3 linked regions of the Schizosaccharomyces pombe genome follow. Changing the gene in region 3 together with the main gene of any one other region gives a genetic interaction. Each region holds a gene or a part of one and is shown on either strand. Other genes may lie near its edges.

Region 1 (4,893 bases), on a different chromosome or scaffold from region 3:
ATAAAATAGCAACGATCGAGCAAGTTTCTTACCATATACTAAACTGTAGAACAATGTCCAAGTTAAAACATAAGAAGGTGCGCCATCTAATATTTTAGCGATCCAAAACTTATATCCGGGCTGGTAATACTTAGTTAAGTTACCACGCATTTTCAATGCAAAGAGTAGAAAGGAGACGAAGAAGTAACCGAGTACATACAGAGCAAGCCCTTCATATGAAGTTAAACCCAAAATACCAGCTGCGCACCCGAAAAAACTAGAAGTCAAGTTTCGAACAAAAGAAACGACCTTTGGATTCATTAGCACTCAATTATAAAATCCTTAAAAAAACTAGTACCAAGAAAATCTAGCTCTGCAATCATTTCTTACCTGTTCATTATATGCAACATTTTCTACAACAATTGGAGCGACGCCTTTATCCCTTTCCATATTAGCTTATGAACAATTCTGATGTTTAGTTGAGTTCACCGCTTGTAGAATTATAACCAAAAAATGATGGATAACGCATCTTTATACTGCGGTATTAACTACATAAGGACTTAGTAGGAACGTAATTTTTTCGCAGCTTGACGTATCCTTAAAAGCATTTTGCAAACTGCGTAATTGCCAATCTTTCATGTAAAGCTACAAGCGATATGGATATGGGAAAAAGCATTACTTTTTGCTTGGGCTGAATGTTGGCTAGTTTGGAGGGTGAAATAGTTTATTCAATACAATTGAGTACTTTATTTTTTTCCATTTGATTTTTTTGAACAGAAATGGGCTAATTACTAGGATATTGGGAAATCGCATTGTTTAAAAGAGGTTCTCGTTTTACATCAAGGTCGATTTTTCATATTTATTTGTTTTAGAAAAAAGTATCATCTTATATTTCCTGTATTACTGGTTTTCTAATTCTAAAACTTGAAAATGGTGGATGAAACGTTACATACTAGATTGTTTACAGTATACCGAAAGGATTAGAGACTCGTGAACATTCGTAAAAGCGACATGCTTATACTTCCAAGAGAACGAAAAGCGAATTTCATTTCTTATTTACAATAGAATAGTTATTCTCATCATTCAGTCACGATCACTTTTTTCTTTACCAAAAATTGTATACCTAAATAGCACAGTATAATCCACCGCAAATTAACGTATCGTTAATATGTTTATGATCAAATACTATGTATTTGCATACCAACGCTGCGATACATTAAATAAAAACAAGCAGAAATATGAGAATTCAATAATAAAGGAAACATTTAATAATTCCAAAAGCGAATTGCTAATTTTTTAATTACTTTATTTTACAATATCCTATAGCACATCAATGAAATCAAGGTTTTCAGTCAAGGTTGGAGTGATGTTGAGAGTAGTAAGTGTAAATACTAAAACCCATTGCGAATACTTAGTGGATAATATCTGTTTCTTTTTTACCAAAGTCTCTCTCTTTGTATAGCTTATCAAGTTATATGTTTGGCGCAATTCATTTGTTTAAAATACAAACATAAAAACAATATAGTTGTAATGAAATTGTTATTAAATTAGTCGATGAGGGAAGTATGAGTATGCAAAACAAAAATAAAGAACCAAGAGAAAAAAAATCGAAAACTTTTTAAAAGGCATTATGAGGGCCGGTAAAATAATGCAGCGTTAGGATCAGTTGCATGCTTTTCCAATGAATAATCTTTTCGAGAATCAAAGACTTCCCAATGCACACATGGAAACACATGGCGATTTTGTAAATAATATGATTTTTGAACTAGATGAGGAATGCATTGAGAAGGAAGTTGTGTAGTTGCAACCATTTCTGGACTAGAGCATGACAGCTTATCAAAGTCAAATAAAAGTCCATCACGTCCTTGAACTTTATTAATGTAAAAGTAGTAAAGCTCATGGTGATGGGGAATGATTAAATCAGATTGAACCAGTAAAAATTTATCCATATCCAGAATCCTCTTCAAAAATGGGATTTGCTGTTTCATATCAGCAAGAAAGTGTCCAACCGAATCTTTCAATCTAGTCCTTACATGATAAGTGGTACTTGTTCCATCGTAATAGATAAATGGTATCAAAATCTCTTTTTCCCGAATTTGCTCCTGCTCTTTTAGCCATTGTTTGCGATATTCGGCTCGCTTCGCGTTTTCACGTATTTCTCGCTCTGCATCTGGCAAAAAGGAGGTATCCGCAGATGGATCCTTTCCCATAAACATTTTTTTCTCAACTTTTTTTAAAGGTAGATCATCATTCTCCAGTTCTTCATCTTCACCAAAAGAAAGTTTTCCTTTGTTAACTTTAATGCCCTGTTTGACCTTTTTGCTTAAAGCATCTTTTCTCTTTTTTCTAAAATTGAATTGTCAGTCATATTTAGAATACTATCGGGCTTTTCTCGTTCTTTTCACTTACATTTTAGTACTTGTGGTTGATAGCGCATGTTTCTCTCGTTTTTCAACGATGTTTTGTTTTACTCTTTGATAATCCTTTAAATGGACTAAACCAGTCGTACTATTTCGTAAAATCTCATGAATTTCATCGGCATCAGTATGGCCGCTCATTGTATGAAGAATTCAAAAAAACGTGAGTGGTGAGCGTTCTTCCAAATAAGCTTGAATACCCAAAATACCCTTTTTTTGCCTCGGTTTTCAAATCTCAAAATGAAAGAAATGACTATTACTATATTTATCGTAGAAGAAGAACATGTTTTTTACATTTACCTATGAGGGATCCTAGAATAAACGCACACTTTGCCAAAGTCACGTTGCATATAAGTTTTTTATATTTGTCAAAACGGTTATTAAATAGAATAACAACGAGGTGGGGCACTTTGAAGCATTCTGTAATCTTTAACTGCTTGTATAGACACTTTTTAAAACCAATCTAGAGACAAATAAAACGAATTACTCGTTTGTATTAACAAGCTTTGGAAAAATAGCAATAGATTAAAAACAAAAAAAAAACTAGCTAATCACTAGTGTTGCTATAAATACTCTAATAAATTTTCGTATCTGGTCATTGAATGCAAAACCATCTTTCGAATGCCAATATATAAAGTCATTAAAGTGATCCTAAAAAATCATCATTATCCAATGTTCATCAAATTCATTTTAATTTGTCCACTTCGCATCGCTAATAAATATGAAGCTCGCTGGTATACTGTCAGATAAAATAAAAAGAAAATTTTCAAGAGCTGTCCCCTTTGAATATACGTGGCATATGCTTTCCACGAAATTGCTCAATTGAATTGGCAATACCAAAGTTTCGGCCAGTTTCCACTACTAAAAAGCAAGCAAGATCCTCACTACTCCAGTAACTGCTATGAGCCGAAAGCATAGAAAGATATTTGTTTGAAATGACCCCATGGGCACTCGTAAATACGTAGTCCAACTGAGAGTTTTCATTCAACTCTTGCATGCGCCACTTGGCCCTTTCTTCTCTGCGAAAATTGCGAGTCTCTAACTCGACAGTCTGTTCAGGCTCCAGTGGGACCACTGCTGTGGGCTCATTGTTTTTATTTTGCTGCAAAGATTGATTGTAACTTCGAAGTTCCACAGGATCAGTATTAGAATGTGAGATCATTCTCAAAATACTTGAAGATTTTCTTGTGAACAGTATACGAGTTGGGTGGATGCCTTTCGAAAATGAGAGATCCACTGTGGGATTTAATCGCATCGCAACGGCTAATTTGTTAGTAAATACGATAATTTAATGATGCGCTTACGATCAAGGTGATTATAGATGTTATAAAAAGAGTCGACTGCGAGACATCCGTACCGATCATAACCATCGTAAGTATATGACTTTGGAACATCAGAATTTATAAAGTTTTTATTTATTTCGTATCTTGATGAGCCTCTTCCACGACGAGGAATAATACTTTGTTGATTCAAATGCAAAAAAAAACCTACCGGACCACCAAAACAAAAAAAACCGTTTGTGTCGAATATAAAGCAGCTTTCATCATCGTCTATAGTAATTTCTTTGACAAAAGTGGGTTGAAGTGACAAAATATCAAAAACAACTGTGGAGCCCAAAGAATGCCCAATTATAAAGATACGGCCCTTGTTTTCTAAAAAGTAAGGATTGCAGTCCTTCCACAAATGGTAAACCCTATTAGCTTCACGAATTACAGACTTTATAATGGATTCTTTGTGATGAGACATATAATAGGGAATATCACTCATCACATCTCCTAATAACCTTCGCACCGCTGGAATGCTATCAATTTCAATATCCTCAATTGAAAATCGATTTTCTTCAAATTCTTCATCCTCAACCCGTCCTTCATCACCGGCAACTGGCTTTATATATGAATTAAAATTAAGCTTATTTCTCCAACATATCGGAAGAAGTTGTGGTTCATAATCGTTTCGAATCAACGGATCCTCTTTCATTATGTTTTTCTGAATTTGGATCAATGAACGAAAAACGTTGCACGTCTTGGTAAATAAGAATCGTTCCTCTATATTGTCAACATTAGTAATTGAATGCCGGTGTAAGATAAAAAAAAATCAAGTTTACTTACCAGTCTCTGATCTTTTTTGACCGATACCATGAACCACCAAAAAAAGATCTGTAACTTGTTTAGGTCCATTAAAACCATCATCTTCAAAGTAAGGAAAATCTCGAACGACCGGCATACCTTTAATACTGGTCCTTCGAGATTGAGTCCCTTTTGAAAAATAGGATAACAAACCTCCTTGACAAATGAGTGCTCTATATCCGTCTTCGTAAAATACATATTTGCCAGAGGAGGTAGGTTTAAGAGGCCATTGCATCGCATCAATTAATTCCTTAGAGGACTTGTTACGTTTATGAGACAATACAGAAGGATCATCTTGAGAATCCTTCCCTTCTTCTTCTTCTTTTAAAACATTATCCCAGTTAACGGCGTATGGCTTCACTTCCTGGTAG
Region 2 (4,864 bases), on a different chromosome or scaffold from region 3:
CTGGATTTTAACGGTAATTATCGCAATGCCGTATATACTTTAACCTGTCAGGAATAGTACACTACGCTATGCTACACTACGTTGCGTATCACTATATGTCATATGTTGGAATACTAGCTAAGATCCGTTTATTGATAATCACGGGTAACTATCCGTCTATATACATAGATACCCGTTGATAACAACTATTTAGAAATATTATAAATAGCGTTACAACTGAACCTCGTTCCTCAGTTCAGTTATGAGCTATATTAGTGATAGGTAACATTATAACCCAGTTAATACAATACCTATACTCAGTTGCTACTTATACAACCTGTGTATTGTAATATAATAGACCACAAGGAAAACTCACCGCAGTTCTACGTATCCTTAAATCAGATACCAAACTGCGTAGCTTACATAACCTAGGCTTGATCTTATCGTTATATTAAATGCTTTTTATTACCTCAAAAATCTACTTCAACAGTTTGATTTCAAGCTAAAATGGTAAATTTTAATGCATAAAATATACCCATTGAGTAATCTATTTGCTCTTTTTTTTATACCGCTCGTCCGCTGATGAAAACGTCAACATAGCAATGCTTGTATCAAGTGAAGATGGATGGTGTGAAATCACTTGTTATAACAGAGGAGTAATTGAGTATTGCTTTTTTGATCACCACTGTTTGATACACCCTTGCCTGCTAAACAATTCAATGTGAGTTTGTAAATTGCAGTTTTATTTATGATCATCGACCAAGCCCTAACATACATTTGTTACTCGATTTAATTTAATTAATTTAATATTTCAACAAGGAACTATGAATTTGGAGACTTTGTCGCCCAGGTATTTTATTATATGTAAACACAAATTAAGCAGGTCGCACGTATAAGTCTACCGTATGTTATAAACAAAGATAATAAATTTTAATAAGATGACAAATAATTTCAGGGACTTTCAACATACGAATATCAATTGTCTACTTTTCATGTTGACAAAACTTTGACCTCTTATAAAGCAAGGTCCCAATAAATTAGGTCTCCACCACCATCAACAACTTGCATTCGTGATTTAAAATGGAAAGGAAATCCCAAGTTTCAGATACAAATAATAACTCTATACCTACGTAAGTTTATTAATTATTAGTTTATTTCTTTACGCCGGACTGCGAATTGGTTTTAAGAAATTCCATACAACCTTCCACAACAGTCTATAATCTTAGGTCTCTTATATTGTTTATTCCTTTTATATTCTTAACTAAATATGTTGGAAATGAAAACTTACTAACTTTCGTAATAGTAATGTTCTGCTTAAGTTTGTGGGTTTTAGTGTCGCATTATTTACATTACCACTTATAACTTATTTTTGGACGTTGAAGACTTTATTCAAAGGTATATACTAATTGTTGAATAATTTTGATTTTTACTGATAAATTTTGTTTTAGGATATCAAACATTGTACGCAGGATTATCTGCAGCTGTAATGGTCAATATTATCTTGGCCTTGTATATAGTCGCAGCCTTTCGCGAAGACTCCGGGACTCCCAAGAAGGATATAAAAAGGGAATAATAAATTTTCAGTAACCATTTTACTACTATTTTGAGTTATGACTTTTGCATTTCAATTCTAAATCAAATTTTGAAGCGGATTTTCCTTCTGCCAACGTATTTAGGTGAATCATTCGATGTCTTTATTTTTTTTCGTTAAAAGTATCGCAAAATGAAAGACTTTAGCTGGGACTATCCTATAATCTACTGGATTTTGCATGTATGTCTATTGAATAAGGTGCTACCACAAAGCTGTTGCTGGTGATACTACTCCTTTTTGTATCTGAATTAATGAACGGAAATTTTTTTGTTTAATTTTTCGCTAGTCTGTAATGAAAATATGTGTCTGTTCTTTAGTTTTTTGTAGTTTCCCAAAAAACACGAATTAGCAAAATGCAATTGATATGGCAATTTCAACCAATTTTATAATTAAATTTTCCTTTTTATAATATAAGGCTAACATGTATGATTCTTATCAAACATAACAGCTGTAGGAATTCAGTATTCTTCTAACACTTATGCATCACTATTTTCTCTCACCCCAAACCCCTCGTATATTGGAAAGTTGTTCAAGTGAGCATTATTGATTTTTTCCCAATATAATATTGATAAAAATATATATCTGTAAAAAAGTTTGGTGTTAATTATTTATTTTATTCTGTTTTCTGCTGATTCAAAGACTTCGAACATGTCGACTGCCAGTGAACAAGCTCGACTTAGACGTGAACGTCGACTGAATAAAATCAAACAAGGAGGTGCATCTAGAATCAATCAAATTTTGGGACAGAATTCAGATGACAGTCAATCCGATGTTCGAGCTACAGCTTCCGAGGAAGCTGTACATTCTGAAACTGCAACACCAGTAACGCCAATGTCTTCAGGATTCATGGAAAAGAGAGATGATACCTTCAATGCTGATCAAGTGGAATATCTTCCTTCCCAAGATTACCATAATTTGGAAAGTTCGCCTTTTAAACTTCAGTGTGATTCTCCATATAATGTACCACCTGAAAACATGTTTAATCAAAACCCTGATTTTGCAAATTTTTTTCAAGCTATGTTACAATCCGCAAAGGAGGGATCTGATACAAATTTTCAAGGTGAAAACGAACAAATTCCTCAAGCTACAGCTCCTTTAAAAAACTTAGTTGAGAAATATGCTCATCTTTTGGCAATTTCTATAGTAGTGATTGTTTGTTATTTTAAACATTTGGTAAGTCCTCATCTTCCTTTTTTGAAATTGTTTTTTTGCATACTAATATATTTATTTCAGCCATTACTTCCGTGGACATTTACTGTCGAAGCTTGCTTGTTCTCTATTCAATTTGTTTTGGACCGTAATAATGGACCTTCTTATTCTCTTCTAGCATCTCTGGCCTCTCAGCTTCCCCCTCCCTATGGAGCAATGATCCGTCATACAACAAGTTATGTTCCGTATTTCACACAATTGATTACAGATGCGTGTATGACAATATTTGCGTTAGGTTTATGTTGCTATTTTTATCCGTCGTTGGTGTATTAATAGTTGTTAATTTTCAGCATTTACTATTTATGAATCTTGGTTTTGCTTCGCAAATTGGTGATCGATTAATTAGCATTCAATTTTTGTTTAGATGAAATAAACTAACTGATTAAGCGAGAAAGACTTTTCAAACCCTTAGGAATTCAATTTTATATTATCTTTTCAACATCTAAACGATTTATATTCTAAAACATACTGCACTTCATTTGAACTGCTTTGCAACACATGCCATATTTACGATTGTCGGTACGTTTTATTTATTTTCTCTTTTAATTCAATGGTAGCAATAGTATATGATTTAAAAAGCTCTGTTTATTGTAATTGTAGTATTAATTAAAAACAGACTACTTAAAGTAATTTCTGGGATAGCTGTGAAAACATTATAACTATGATTTTTAAAATCTTTTATCAACTTATTATTGAAATAAAATAAGTAATTGAGAATTGGCTTGGTTGACTGTATATATGTAAAACAACTTCGTCCGAAGCGCTACAACAGCATGCAAACGTTGAAACGGCGAATTCTTGTTATAGAGAAATTTTTCATATAAAACCATACGTACATATTTTGCTATTTAAGTTCCAGATTGCTTAAAAGAAAATTGAAGTGGTAGCACCATTTTTATAAATATATGCAATGGAAATGAAAAGGCGCGTTCGCGCGGTGCGTCGAGACCAAATTCAAAAAAGATGGCGTCCATTAGAGGATAAGCAGCGCCAAGAAATAATAATTATTTTTAGGACGTGTTCAAGGTAAGTAATTGAGAATCATGTTATTGCTAAAAGTGCTTGTGCTTTTTAGCGCTTACTTGTGTACTGAAAGGGAAATCAAAGTTTGCTGTTGATGTTTACCTGGAAAAGTCTTTTAAGTACTTTTCCAAATTTTTTTAGTCATTATGTGTACGTATGCTAACTGTGCTATCGTAACAGATTGGTTTTGAATACAATAAAATCAGAAACAAGAAAATCTTTGGCCGAGGAATGGTTCATGAATATACTTTTAAAAATCGAAGCTCCTCTGAGAAATTTGCCTGTACCAAGGAAAAGAAAAGAGTCAATACTGTTCTCTCAATTACTTTCTTCGAATGTAAGTTATTAAGTCTTGATACGCATACATACGAAAGAGATATGACTAACATTTTTAGATGCAATTGGAACAGCAATTATACAGTGATTTGGACCATATTAACGTACTTCAACAGGAATTGAAGGTTGAAACTGCTCGTTTGGAGAATGAACAGAAATCTTACGAAGAAATGAAACAAAACATGGCCATAAATAATTCACGGCTTGCCGATTTAAAATCTAAAGTAAGTTTAAAACACGAACAGGCGAATGTTTTATTCAAGACTTCATCTTAACATATGACACAAAATGAGTTTTCCATTGTTTCAGTTATGTAAATAATCAAGCAATCACTAATATTTTCTTAGCTTCACCCTTATTTGAAGAAAGGCTTAAAGATATCCCATGATAATTTTTCAGACTCCAACGATTTCTCGTTCCAAAAGAAACTGAATACAGAAGATTCTAATACTTCTAAAACCTCTACATTGGATATGTATAAAGAAAAATTAAAGCCATTTACGAAAACTATGCAAATCCATGCAAATAAAACTGTTCAATTAAGTCAAACTATACAAAAAGCTACTCTTCTTTTACAACGACTAAACAATACAAAAAATATAGGCCTAAATAAGTCATCCAAACTTAAGATAAAGAATATCTAGACATAGAAAAGCTAGAGCTTAAGACTTGATGACTTCTACATGTTAACATATAGTCCCTGGCCCCGAACCATGACCAACCCAA
Region 3 (6,529 bases):
AGATTGCATGGAATTGATGCTGTAAAAAGTCACATATTAGCTACCAAAACAGTTGCTAATATTGTGCGTACTTCTTTGGGTCCCCGTGGACTGGATAAAATTTTAATCTCTCCAGATGGAGAGATTACGGTTACCAATGACGGTGCTACAATCCTCGACCAAATGGAGGTTGAACATCAAATTGCAAAGCTGTTAGTTCAGTTGTCTAAATCTCAAGATGATGAAATTGGGGATGGAACTACTGGTGTTGTTGTACTAGCAGGTGCATTACTGGAGCAGGCCGAGGCACTTATAGACAAAGGTATACATCCTATAAGGATTGCAGATGGTTACGAAAAGGCATGCCAGGTGGCTGTTAAACATTTAGATGCTATTTCAGATGTTGTCGACTTTAGTCCCGAAAACACTACTAATTTATTTCGTTCTGCTAAGACTAGTTTGGGTAGTAAAGTGGTTTCCAAAGCTCATGATCACTTTGCAAACATTGCTGTGGACGCGGTCCTTTCTGTTGCTGATTTGCAGAGAAAAGATGTTGATTTTGAACTCATTAAAGTAGATGGCAAGGTTGGTGGTTCAGTGGATGATACAAAGCTTGTAAAGGGTGTTGTGGTGGACAAAGACATGTCGCATCCACAAATGCCTCATCGTATTGAAAATGCAAAGATTGCTATTTTAACCTGCCCTTTTGAACCACCAAAGCCAAAAACTAAGCATAAGTTGGACATAACATCAGTGAGTGAATTTGAAGCCCTTCAAGCTTATGAGAAGGAAAAATTTCAGGAAATGATTAAGCATGTAAAGGACGCAGGAGCTAACCTTGTTATATGTCAATGGGGTTTTGATGATGAAGCAAACCATCTACTTCTTCAAAATAATTTACCGGCTGTACGTTGGGTGGGAGGTCCCGAAATCGAATTGATTGCTATTGCTACAAATGGACGAATTGTGCCCCGATTTGAGGATCTTTCGTCTGATAAGCTTGGTTCAGCCGGTATAGTGAGAGAGGTGTCGTTTGGTACGACTCGTGATAAGATTTTAGTTATAGAAAAGTGTGCCAACTCTCGAGCCGTAACCGTTTTTGTACGAGGAAGCAATAAGATGATTGTCGATGAGGCGAAACGTGCTTTGCATGATGCACTCTGTGTCGTTCGTAATCTGATACGTGACAACAGAGTAGTGTATGGTGGTGGTGCTGCTGAGATTTCTTGCTCTTTGGCTGTCACCAAAGAAGCTGAAAAGATTCCTGGTATTGATCAATATTCCATGGGTGCATTTGCAGATGCTTTGGACACGATTCCTCTTGCCCTCGCGGAGAACAGTGGCCTTTCGTCCATCGAAGCTCTTACAGCAGTTAAAGCTCGTCATGTAAAAGAAAACAAGGCATATCTTGGTATTGACTGTTTGCAGACCGGAAGTAATGATATGAGAAAGCAGTTTGTTATTGATCCTCTTATTGGAAAGAAACAACAACTGCTTCTTGCTACTCAGCTTTGCAGAATGGTACTCAAAGTTAACGATATTATCGTTGCCGGTTCTAAGGATGATGACTATAACTAAATGGCATTTTCATCCGCACGGCTAAAGGAAATTTAATTTACTTCATTTCATACGGCAAGCATGTGCTTTTTTGAATAAAATGGTGATTCTGTGTACTTATGTCAAAATAAAAAATTTCTTGCATATATATAAATTTTTTCTACTAAGCATCATATTGAGTCCGTATTTCCAGTTTCAATAGTATTTTTACCTACTCAGAGATTGTGAGCTTTTCAAAGCCTTCAGACACTCTAACCTTGTTTATGGCATTATTTTTATACTAAACTCTGTTTATGATTTGTTCCATAAAGCTGTACAAATAGACCAAATACATCAGCGCTCAAGACGGAAATCGTCGGCTACTTTTTCCGCAAAAACGCTTCTGGTAGCACCTGTAAAGCCGAGTTTGGGCAAAATGATATCAGTTTTCTTAATTGAGCCATGCGAGGATATTTTCCTAACATTTCTCGCTAATCTAGACTGAGTCTTTTCGCACAGAAATCCATTAGTATTGGATTAATGTATTCATCAACCTTTGTTCCTTTGCTTTCCTTCATTGTAAATAAGGAGGTTTAGTGTAGTAGCTTGGACCAAATCCGACGCTTTTTAAGAGGGGTGAAGAAGCAAAGCAAACCAACCTCCACACAAAAGAAAAGAACATCAAAAGACTACGATTTGCTGATTTTCAGTAAAATCCTGTAATTAAACGGCAAATACTGCCTTTAAGTTCAGCGTGAAGTTGAAATTAAAGGAGCTTGAGCTTTATCGAAGTCACTGCCTTTTTTGGAAGAAGCTTCATTAAAAGTTTGCAATACGTTGAAATCTCTCTTTTGTATCCCGCCTCTTAGTTATCAATTGATATTATCTTAACTTTCTTTACTATTTCTTTTTTAGTTGATCTATTCTCATTTTTTAAATTCTCGTTTGTCCTCCTTTTGTTTAAAGCAACCGGTTGTTCCTTCTGTACTGAGTTTTAAATCTTTTTCCTGTCCTGTTTGATCGGATAAAAGCTCATTCCATCTTTTTGTTGAGCTTGCTGTAGAATCTCAACTATACCGATTGATTTTACTACTTTTTTAGAGCACATTTGCTTTTCTTCAAAAAAAAGTATCCTTCACTTTTTAAAGCAAATTTATTCATTCATTCAGTTGATCATAACATAATGGCAAAAAGAGTCGTCTCCCCAAACCCAATGCTCTCGTTGGAAACTGAAAATATCGCAAAAATGGGTACCTTAACTGCGGATAGCCTGGGATCTATGTGGAATGGTAATGTGGTTAACAGATGCTCTATATTAACTCTTTTTTTTCTAGTTTTTACCAAGTGTGCTGAGAACCTTGAAAACGGTCGTCGTTTAGAAAATATATCTTGGCGCCTGTGGTATCGTGAAGCTATGATGTCCGATGCTAATGATGCTTGTCAAATTGCTTGCCAGGAATCTTCCGTCCCTGATCTTTCTTCAAGTTGCGATTCCATTAATTCTACCGTTGAATCGGATGCGGGTCATGTTGTAGATTCAAACTCCTTTAACAGGATTGACAATGTTTCCGTTAATGCTCCTATTGTGAATGAAGTTAGCTTGCAAGCGCCAATGAAGGGTGGAAGTCATTCCTCTATTGTTAGGCCACAAGCCAAACGTTCCAGCTCACGTCTTTTGTCTACAGACGCATTTAGTCAGTTCATCTCTTCATTTTCACCGCCGGAAAAACCTAGTATGAAGGATTTGGCCCTGTTCCATGGAAATAAATCACCATCTTCTAAGGAAACTATACCTAAGGTTTCCAATTCAAACTCATCTGATACTTCGACTGATGATCAAGCTTATTTGAACGTTAGCGTTTCAGAAAACGAGCATGCTGATCGGTCGATTAAGACACATTCATCTGCACCTCCTTTGAATCAGCAAAAATCATCTACTAGTGTTAATGATGCAGTTTCCAAAGCCATACAACTAGTCAAGTCTACCAGCGATTTAGGTAGCCTAAGTACAAATACATCTTCAACTGCTCAGAAAAATAAATCAAGAAAACCCACTAAGTCTTTTAGTGATGCAGTCGCTGCTGCATCTCGGGCTAAAGAGCTCGAAAAAGAAAAATTATCAAAAGTCACTGTAACCCCTGATGATTCTACAAGTATTATTCGGGGGTTTGATCCAAGGTTGCCCGTTCTATCCACGAAAAACGTTAGTCATGAAGAAAAAAGTCATTCAGTGCAAGATGACAAATCAAAACAATTGTTAAAACCGAATCCTACGCAGCCTTATTTTTACCTGAGGGGTTCTTTTGATACTGGGCATTCGGCATCGTCGTCTATATGTTCAGCTGCTGTCGATAGCGAATCTGTGAACTCTGCAGACTTTCCGCATCGCACAGTTTATGACCCTCTTCCTACTCATGCGATAGCCGAAAGTATATCTCAAGAAAATGTTATTGAGGATGATGATGATGATGATGATGCATGGGTATCTGTCGATGAAGCAGAGTCACCTCATTTTACAAAACGGTCGCCTGCGCCCTATCTTTCTAAGTCATTCCGGAATAGTGCACTTTCTTTGCTTTTGTCTCAAGATGAAAAGCTACAACACGACGTGCGATCAGCTTCTTCAGCCGCTTTGAATTTACCGAGAGATACTGATATAAAGGCAACACCAAATTTATCCCAAAGTGGAAATATTAATTCCGACAACTCTGACTTGAGCAACTATCCTTACAATGATTATCGTGTATACAGAATGTCTCATTGTTCTTCTAATTCGAACAAAGTATTAGCCTCTGAAATATCTGAAAGTCTAAGAAGAGACCTACTTTGGGAACGGCGGCAAAAAGCAGCAATGAACAGTGCAGTTTTACGAAGACAGTCAAGTCAATCGAGTGGGGCTAACGATGATAAAGAAGTTAGAAACAGAAAAGTTGTCGAGAAAGGTTTTGCTAATGATTGCTCCGTTTGGTGAGCAGAATACTTAATTTAAAAATTTTAGCTGTTTTTTCTTCATTAAAAAATTTAAAAAAAAGTTATTAGCATATTGGACTCGTGCAAAATGGCTTTGCAATATTTAAAAATTCCTGTAATTAATAACGTCAGTCATTACATTCTGATTATCCGATTTTTTCTTTGACTGATTTCGTTAACTTGTGATACGCGTATTGACTTGTTATTTAGCCTGAAAAGTCTACGCAGCCAACGATGGTGATAGGAAAATCTAGGGTAAAACCCCCCTTCAGCGATGAAAATTCACAGGTGATTCTTTTATACGTTCGGAACTGTTCGATGAACGTATTTGGCAAAGCTATTATTTATAACACTCTTTTCTTAATTTGATCTTTAAGGTTGGCATATCATCTTTGCTAAGTTTATTTTTTTAGTATCTGTGCATCGGATGTTAAAGTATGTTGTTTAATAAGCTTAACTTAGCCGGTTTTCATACCAATGTACATTATCTAAAGAATTAATCCCTGTTTAATAATTTAGTTTTTGAATCTTAAGTTTTTCAAAAAAAATTTTTCGTTTTCAATTCGTTTTAACAATGTTGTATTTGACGAACTTTTTTATTCTTTTTATTTATTAACATTGTCATCAAGTTTTTATTTTCAAGCACACTACGCAATCAATGATATTTTTTATGAACTGATCCCAGCTTTTCAGTAACAATTTATATAATAAAAAATTTTATTGTAGTCTGAAGCATATATTTGTCTATATTTTAATGTCGAATCATTGAAGGTCTCAGAAATTTGTAGAATAAGAAAAATAGATACAATCAAGCGATGAGTTCCAAAAAAAATTACAAAGAAAATCGTATTTATAGTATTGATTTTGATCAGAATAGCGATTCTGTCTTTATTTTCGCTTTTTACGTTTCATGAGATGACGGTTGTTTGGGCTCACGAATCATACCGGGACTTTCTCTAATTAGTTCACCGGTATCCTCGTCGACCAAATTCGCTATAACGGATGTTTTATATCCCAAGTGCTCATACATTTTGAAGGCCATTTTACTAGCCATAAGGAAGCATGGAATTTGATATTCATCGGCCAAGTCATGAGCCATGTCCAAAAGATAGCCACCGACACCATTCCCTTGAAGAGCAGGATCAACACAAACAAAATGGATGTGGATAAATCCTTTAGGATTCTTCAGCAATCCAGTTTTATAAAGAGCAGCTCCGTATTGCAATTCATTATAGTGGAATCGTTTTTGTACAATTTGCGCACCATACCACCAATACAAAAAATTGCTGTAGTACTTGTTTAAGCTTTTCAAAATCCAGTCTCTATAAGAGACGTTAGGGTCAGGCGGGAATTTTTTAAAGGCCAAAAATCCAACGTACGGGTTGGAATCGGTATACGCGACTATGCAAGTTACATGTGGATCAAAATACGCATCTCGAGTCAGCTGCATGGTTAATGCTTTCATCGTTTCAGAAGACATTCCTTTGAACCTCCATTTCCAAGTCGCACTGTCGCTAAACGCCAACAAACTAACTTCCGTTACCCTTTCGATGTCATTGAATTGCAAGGGTCGATGCCGCAGCGGTTCCCCATTCACGGTCTTTACCATTTTGAGAGGGTATAAACGAATGTAAAGTGAGAAAGGAATATATTGAAGTAAGTTACCGCTACTCAAATGAGATGAATGCTAAAAGAATGCGTTACTGCGTCTTCACTCCAGAGAATATGGCTCTGAGTAGCTTACCGAATCTGCGTTAAAAAGCTGTGACTATGAAATCAGAGTAAATGGCATGTTGCATGAGGATCAGGCGGAATCGACAGTTTACATGGTCATCCAAAATCAATCCGTTACACAAACAACTTTTCACATTGCTGTCGGAAAAGAAAGTCTTGTTATAGTTAACAGGCAATTTACATGATAAAAGCTAGTATAGACAAAACTCTGTAAACGACAATCTACGATTAAACTCAACAAAGCTACGAAATGTTTCCCATCAACGTGTGACTTAGTTTCTGATACTTTGTTTAGTTTAAACATACTGGA

The links.
Region 1: mutations in mks1 (region 3) and xap5 together harm fitness less than expected from each alone (positive genetic interaction), as found in Schizosaccharomyces pombe (one large-scale study listed by BioGRID).
Region 2: mutations in mks1 (region 3) and get2 together harm fitness less than expected from each alone (positive genetic interaction), as found in Schizosaccharomyces pombe (one large-scale study listed by BioGRID).

The regions. Positions count from the first base shown.
Region 1 is NC_003421.2:752,901-757,793, reverse strand, and holds xap5 (splicing factor, xap-5-like protein), read right to left. Parts: upstream 2,543-4,893; 5' UTR 2,538-2,542; coding exon 2,389-2,537; exon of another isoform or gene 2,326-2,388; coding exon 1,608-2,325; 3' UTR 1,504-1,607; downstream 1-1,503. Other genes in the region: protein Emc6, read right to left, coding at 33-288, 370-429; SPOM_SPCC1020.13C (DDHD family phospholipase), read right to left, coding at 3,163-3,659, 3,701-4,441, 4,505-4,893.
Region 2 is NC_003421.2:187,041-191,904, forward strand, and holds get2 (GET complex subunit Get2), read left to right. Parts: upstream 1-2,073; 5' UTR 2,074-2,218; coding exon 2,219-2,743; intron 2,744-2,803; coding exon 2,804-3,052; 3' UTR 3,053-3,361; downstream 3,362-4,864. Other genes in the region: vacuolar H+-ATPase assembly protein Vma21, read left to right, coding at 1,060-1,109, 1,283-1,374, 1,428-1,552; kinetochore protein fta7, read left to right, coding at 3,690-3,805, 3,983-4,139, 4,198-4,362, 4,486-4,782.
Region 3 is NC_003424.3:1,258,930-1,265,458, reverse strand, and holds mks1 (protein Mks1), read left to right. Parts: upstream 1-2,171; 5' UTR 2,172-2,698; coding exon 2,699-2,804; exon of another isoform or gene 2,805-2,849; coding exon 2,850-4,486; 3' UTR 4,487-5,169; downstream 5,170-6,529. Other genes in the region: chaperonin-containing T-complex epsilon subunit Cct5, read left to right, coding at 1-1,557; SPOM_SPAC56E4.07 (N-acetyltransferase), read right to left, coding at 5,387-6,094.